Linked DNA regions of Xenopus tropicalis. The protein of the gene in region 1 binds, or shares a complex with, the protein of each later gene. Links are inferred from orthologs where the notes say so. Each region holds a gene or a part of one and is shown on either strand. Other genes may lie near its edges.

What was found. The genes of interacting proteins can lie anywhere in the genome.
Region 2: regulator of G-protein signaling 9 (region 1) and rgs9bp share a complex: the UniProt entries of both Homo sapiens proteins name them as parts of the RGS9-1-Gbeta5 complex. The link is inferred for Xenopus tropicalis from reciprocal best matches to the Homo sapiens genes RGS9 and RGS9BP.

The regions. Positions count from the first base shown.
Region 1 is NC_030686.2:50,719,549-50,723,200, forward strand, and holds part of regulator of G-protein signaling 9, read left to right. Parts: intron 1-1,445; coding exon 1,446-1,561; intron 1,562-3,531; coding exon 3,532-3,619; intron 3,620-3,652. UniProt on the Homo sapiens protein: Inhibits signal transduction by increasing the GTPase activity of G protein alpha subunits thereby driving them into their inactive GDP-bound form. Binds to GNAT1. Involved in phototransduction; key element in the recovery phase of visual transduction.
Region 2 is NC_030680.2:69,372,559-69,376,310, reverse strand, and holds the start of rgs9bp (regulator of G-protein signaling 9-binding protein), read left to right. Parts: upstream 1-927; 5' UTR 928-1,658; coding exon 1,659-2,369; 3' UTR 2,370-3,752. UniProt on the Homo sapiens protein: Regulator of G protein-coupled receptor (GPCR) signaling in phototransduction. Participates in the recovery phase of visual transduction via its interaction with RGS9-1 isoform.

The sequences.
Region 1 (3,652 bases):
CTGGGTAAGTGAATCCAATCTCCCCCCAGTACTTACCCAGGTACAGAGCTCTGATTCTCTGTACTTCCTGCTCCTGGGCTGCTCTCTTTCCCATGGTCAGGCAGGAACCTCCCCTGGGTAAGTGAATCCAATCTCCCCCCAGTACTTACCCAGGTACAGAGCTCTGATTCTCTGTACTTCCTGCTCCTGGGCTGCTCTCTTTCCCATGGTCAGGCAGGAACCTCCCCTGGGTAAGTGAATCCAATCTCCCCCCAGTACTTACCCAGGTACAGAGCTCTGATTCTCTGTACTTCCTGCTCCTGGGCTGCTCTCTTTCCCATGGTCAGGCAGGAACCTCCCCCTGGGTAAGTGAATCCAATCTCCCCCCAGTACTTACCCAGGTACAGAGCTCTGATTCTCTGTACTTCCTGCTCCTGGGCTGCTCTCTTTCCCATGGTCAGGCAGGAACCCCCCCTGGGTAAGTGAATCCAATCTCCCCCCAGTACTTACCCAGGTACAGAGCTCTGATTCTCTGTACTTCCTGCTCCTGGGCTGCTCTCTTTCCCATGGTCAGACAGGAACCCGCCCCCTGGGTAAGTGAATCCAATCTCCCCCCAGTACTTACCCAGGTACAGAGCTCTGATTCTCTGTACTTCCTGCTCCTGGGCTGCTCTCTTTCCCATGGTCAGGCAGGAACCTCCCCCTGGGTAAGTGAATCCAATCTCCCCCCAGTACTTACCCAGGTACAGAGCTCTGATTCTCTGTACTTCCTGCTCCTGGGCTGCTCTCTTTCCCATGGTCAGGCAGGAACCTCCCCTGGGTAAGTGAATCCAATCTCCCCCCAGTACTTACCCAGGTACAGAGCTCTGATTCTCTGTACTTCCTGCTCCTGGGCTGCTCTCTTTCCCATGGTCAGGCAGGAACCTCCCCCTGGGTAAGTGAATCCAATCTCCCCCCAGTACTTACCCAGGTACAGAGCTCTGATTCTCTGTACTTCCTGCTCCTGGGCTGCTCTCTTTCCCATGGTCAGGCAGGAACCCCCCCCTGGGTAAGTGAATCCAATCTCCCCCCAGTACTTACCCAGGTACAGAGCTCTGATTCTCTGTACTTCCTGCTCCTGGGCTGCTCTCTTTCCCATGGTCAGACAGGAACCTCCCCCTGGGTAAGTGAATCCAATCTCCCCCCAGTACTTACCCAGGTACAGAGCTCTGATTCTCTGTACTTCCTGCTCCTGGGCTGCTCTCTTTCCCATGGTCAGGCAGGAACCTCCCCCTGGGTAAGTGAATCCAATCTCCCCCCAGTACTTACCCAGGTACAGAGCTCTGATTCTCTGTACTTCCTGCTCCTGGGCTGCTCTCTTTCCCATGGTCAGGCAGGAACCTCCCCCTGGGTAAGTGAATCCAATCTCCCCCCAGTACTTACCCAGGTACAGAGCACACTCAGATCTGTATCTGGATCTCTTTCAGGGTGGAGCTGCCTACAAAGCTGCGGGTGGAGCGCTGGGCCTTTAATTTCAGTGAACTGATCCGGGACCCTAAGGGTCGACAGAGCTTTCAGCTTTTCCTCAAGAAGGAATTCAGCGGTAAGTCTAAATGCCCCCGGGGGGGGGGGGGGGTATATTGCTTTATTAGCAGGGCCACCATCCTGCTTAGCCTGGTGCAATCTGGTAGCCCACCAGTCACATGTAGCCTGGGGCATTGGGCCGGGCCAACAAGTAAAATGGGCCTGTAGTGAAAAAAATGGCCGACATGCTAGGCCTGCCCAGGCCCCACCCATTCCACTGCAAGTCCCGCCTTTTGCATTCCTTGGTTTCCCAGGCCCCCCTTGCCACAGGGCAACTGGATTCCCTCCGACAGTGGCCCTGTTTATTAGTGCCCGTAACCTGCCCATTCTGTGCCCTAACGCCAGCCGTGCCCATAACCCGCCCATTCTGTGCCCTAACGCCAGCCGTGCCCGTAACCTGCCCATTCTGTGCCCTAACGCCAGCCGTGCCCGTAACCTGCCCATTCTGTACCCTAACGCCAGCCGTGCCCGTAACCTGCCCATTCTGTACCCTAACGCCAGCCGCTCCCGTAACCCGCCCATTCTGTGCCCTAATGCCAGCCGTGCACGTAACCTGCCCATTCTGTGCCCTAACGCCAGCCGTGCCCGTAACCTGCCCATTCTGTGCCCTAATGCCAGCCGCAACCGTAACCCGCCCATTCTGTGCCCTAATGCCAGCCGTGCCCGTAACCTGCCCATTCTGTGCCCTAACGCCAGCCGCGTCCGTAACCCGCCCATTCTGTGCCCTAACGCCAGCCGCTCCCGTAACCCACCCATTCTGTGCCCTAACGCCAGCTGTACCCGTAACCTGCCCATTCTGTGCCCTAACGCCAGCCGTGCGCGTAACCTGCCCATTCTGTGCCCTAACGCCAGCCGTGCGCGTAACCTGCCCATTCTGTGCCCTAACGCCAGCCGTAACCTGCCCATTCTGTGCCCTAACACCAGCCGTAACCTGCCCATTCTGTGCCCTAACGCCAGCCGTGCCCGTAACCTGCCCATTCTGTGCCCTAACACCAGCCGTGCCCGTAACCTGCCCATTCTGTGCCCTAACGCCAGCCGTGCCCGTAACCTGCCCATTCTGTGCCCTAACGCCAGCCGTGCCCGTAACCTGCCCATTCTGTGCCCTAACGCCAGCCGCGCCCGTAACCTGCCCATTCTGTGCCCTAACGCCAGCCGTGCCCGTAACCTGCCCATTCTGTGCCCTAACGCCATCCGTGCCCGTAACCTGCCCATTCTGTGCCCTAACGCCAGCCGTAACCTGCCCATTCTGTGCCCTAACGCCAGCCGTAACCTGCCCATTCTGTGCCCTAACGCCAGCCGTGCCCGTAACCTGCCCATTCTGTGCCCTAACGCCAGCCGCGCCCGTAACCTGCCCATTCTGTGCCCTAACGCCAGCCGTGCCCGTAACCTGCCCATTCTGTGCCCTAACGCCATCCGTGCCCGTAACCTGCCCATTCTGTGCCCTAACGCCAGCCGTAACCTGCCCATTCTGTGCCCTAACACCAGCCGTAACCTGCCCATTCTGTGCCCTAACGCCAGCCGTAACCTGCCCATTCTGTGCCCTAACGCCAGCCGTGCCCGTAACCTGCCCATTCTGTGCCCTAACACCAGCCGTGCCCGTAACCTGCCCATTCTGTGCCCTAACGCCAGCCGTGCCCGTAACCTGCCCATTCTGTGCCCTAACGCCAGCCGTGCCCGTAACCTGCCCATTCTGTGCCCTAACGCCAGCCGCGCCCGTAACCTGCCCATTCTGTGCCCTAACGCCAGCCGCGCCCGTAACCTGCCCATTCTGTGCCCTAACGCCAGCCGTAACCTGCCCATTCTGTGCCCTAACGCCAGCCGTAACCTGCCCATTCTGTGCCCTAACGCCAGCCGTAACCTGCCCATTCTGTGCCCTAACGCCAGCCGTAACCTGCCCATTCTGTGCCCTAACGCCAGCCGTGCCCGTAACCTGCCCATTCTGTGCCCTAACGCCAGCCGTGCCCATAACCTGCCCATTCTGTGCCCTAGGGGAGAACATGAGTTTCTGGGAGGCCTGTGAAGACCTGAAGTACGGAGACCAGTCGAAGGTGAAGGAGAAGGCGGAGGAGATCTACAAGTAAGCGCCTTCTAGTTTGGTTTAGCTTCCCCT
Region 2 (3,752 bases), on another chromosome or scaffold:
GATAGTAGGTCACAACCTAAAGTCTTGCTAACTGGAACACTCTGTGATTTTCAGTTTCCTTCTCCTTTAAATCCAAGTTTCATAATTTGATAGTAACACCAACAAAATGCTGTCAGTGACACCAGAAAATGTACACCAATTTCAAATTGTGGAAAGCTGTTCTGACCGATCTGGGTAATTGTTAAACAATACTTCAGATTCTTAAATCTGGCTTGTGGAAAGACAATTTGACACCAAAACATACAAACCCTTATTCATGGAACTAGAGTTAGGCTTTTGGGTGCCTGCCATTGCTTTTACACTTTTATTGCTGTTAAAGTGGACAGGTTTCTATTGCAATGTGCATTCATGTGGATATACTTTTCTTTTTCACAGAGACTAAAGCTTTGCTGTTGTTACAGTAAATCCCTTTTCACAATGCTATATGTAAACAGTAAAGGGCGACTGCAAAGGTTACCGACATACAGCCTGAGATTGCTGGAAGTCATACTAAACTAATATCTCAATAGATGCCGGGTGCAATACCTACTCTGTTTTAAGAAGCATACCACACAGACATGCTGTATACCACTCTACTTGCAAATCAGCTGCCCTTCGGTGCCTGGCCTAACAGTTTAATATATCAGGAGGATTTATGTAAATAGAAATATAGTTTGCTGCGCACAGCGTCTACTCACTTAGAACGATAAGCTCCTTATTTCTTGCCCAGTGCCCGAGAGCAGCTCCTCTCCACCCAGCTTCCTTAAGCATAGACCAGGGCTGCAAAGAAACAACACAGCTTTCAGCCAATGGGCACCCTTCCCTTTCCTACCGACGCTATCTACGGCCAATCGAAGTACAGCTAAGAGGTGGGTGTATTACAACCATAGCGTGCCAATTGCCGAGCTGTGGAAATCGTCACCTGAACTGCAAGACAGAGCGGCCATTTTATGTGCTGGAAAGAAAATATTAATGTAACGCGCTGTCTGTATTTAAGCCGTTGTCGAACTGTGATTTGTAAGCATTCCTGGTTTATTTTAGACTGGCTGTTGTTAAGTTAATTTGCATTAGAACAAGCTGTATAACATTCTTCTCTACCACTTTGATAATATTATCGAACTTGCCCTTATTAATGATGTCAGTGTACACCGGCCAAATACCTCACTGATATAACAAGCCTTTGAGGTTTGCTCACGTGACTCGTGTAGATGATGGGCAGAATGAGCTGCACAGGGAGAGCAGGAGGACGCGTTCGGACAGCTCCCTGCTGGAATTCACAGCGCTGTTGTGGAAGAGCAGTTTACAATATCTTTAAACTGTCGCTACAATAGCAGTTTTTTCAACTTTTATCCAGCATTAATACGCCTGCTAAGGAAATTTTCAACTGCTTGATATGGATTTCACTTACACTATGCACAGGTTGTGCAGATAATTCCTGATTGGTTGACAGCTTGTTATAGCCTCAGGATTGGAGTCCACTGATTATTTTATTTTGCACCCTGGTACCATGGAGGAGCCGGAGTAGGACAAACACAGTTCTCTATTATCGATGATAAATGAAACGAAATGTGGAACTGCAGCTAATTGCTGGTCTGCATATCCTGAACTAGGGTTAAAAAAAGTATCATTATTGGCAGTATTTGGGGTTTTAAGGGGTTTTGGAAGAAAGCAAGCTGGAGATGCTGAAGGAGGAATGCAAGGCACTGCTGGATGCTCTGAACAAGGTAACTGCATGCTACAGGCATCTGGTGCTCACCATAGGTGGCACATCAGACTCACAAAACCTTCGGGAAGAATTGAAGAAGACCAGGCAGAAAGCACAAGAACTAGCTGTGGCCAACAGAAACAAACTTACCAGCACTCTCAAAGACCATAGATTAACCAAAGAAGACAAGGCTGAATTTGAGAGGCTATGGGTTATTTTCACTACCTGCATGGACATTCTGGAAACAGATATGAGGCGAGCTCTGGTGCTAGGTCAGGAATTTCCTCTTAACATCCCCAAGAAACACCTTATTCAGACTGGCATGAGTGGTGGAACCTCTGGTGTGGCTGCCAGGGCTATGAGTGTGCAGAACATGAGATATGATGCTGAGCACAATATAGATGTGATGGACCTCAAGGACCTAGAGGATGAGATCAATCTTATGGATGAAATGATGTATGAAATGGAAATGAAGGTCAATGTACCTCAGTGGACTGTGGAAGCTAAACAGGATCCAGGAGCTGAACTTAAATCCACTATGAGTGCTGGGGCTTCTCCTGGGATTATTTCCCTGGATGATCATAAATCTATATGTGACCTCAACAAAGTTTTAGCTGGGGTGGTTTTCAGTGCAGTTCTTATTATTGCTATAATACTGGCAGTTTGTGTAGTAAAACTCTCTTAATGAGAATATTTATGCTGCTAACTATGTTTAATAATTTTTGGGTTTGGTGCAGATCATAATTCTTCCTTTTTAATTAAACTATCTGCTTCCTAGGCAGAAATCATGCGTCTATTTTGATGGATTTTGGGGTATATTTTTATTTGATTTATGTTTTATGCAAAGGTTTTCTGCAGATCGATTACAAATGTTCTTTTCTTGTATAATATTGGCATAAAAATATGCCTTATTCATTCACTCCACTGGGTTATTTTAAACTTAGCAATTTCTGCCTGCAGCATATTGCACATTGTATTGGTGCAAAATTTGTATATGCTTGTCTCTTTTTATACTGGCAATGCAGTATGATTAGTGCTACCTCACTTTTATGACAAGTTTTCAGTATTAACAAAGAAGCAGAGTTTTGCATTTGGTGGCAAAGATACAAAATGATGCATTCAGCACATAGTACATCAAACATGTGAAAGAATTGAAGCTTGCAGGATTCAGTCATATAATACCCTCTGCCAACACACATTTATTAGTTTTAAACATATCTGTAAAGTACTGATTTTGAACATTTTGATGCCAGAGGTAGTGCAAGGCACTGGTTAGCAGTTTGTTGGTTGCTGCTTCTAACATTCTAAAGGCTGATGAAAAAGAAGAAAAGCACACGCTGTCTGACTTTATTAGTGGCAGTAATGTGATTATCAATATTCCAATTCTATCTACTATGGCACTTTGATTAATACATTGTTTTTGACTGAAGTTCAGTTCAAAAGTCAGATTAACCATTGTAGGTTTTATAGCCTGTCTGCATTCATTCTTCCTTGAAGTCTTCCTATAAGCATGCCCCACTTATTATTCATAATAGTCTTATATGAATAGGCTTAGAGCAGCAGTTGTGCAGACCTTTGTTGCCATGCTGAACAGCTTCAGGGCTACACACTACACACAGGCTTTTTTTGTGTGTTCTAAAGCGCATTTGAGACAGAGATTTGTACACTTACTGATTCTGTTTTATTCTGCCTGATTATGCCTAAGATTCATGTCTGTGTTGTAGAAAACTATTTTTTAAATAATATGCTGCATTTTATGTATTGGAACACTTTCATAATATATTTAAAATAGAGAAATGCTTGCTGAACATAACACATATACGTGGATTTTAGTAGCTTGCATTTCATTTAAACACCATTGTATAAGTGCCCTTAAGCATTTCAGTAAGGGGCCATATCATCAAAGGTTTCTGTTTGCATTGGCGTAATTAATTTCCTGTTCATTTGAGTATTATATATATTAAAAGAATAAAAGCATATCAGGTCTCCAATCTAATCTCTGATTTTCAGCATTGGTATGGACATCTCCCTGTCTGAGGGCCAAGCTGTGCTCTGGTTAAGTAATATA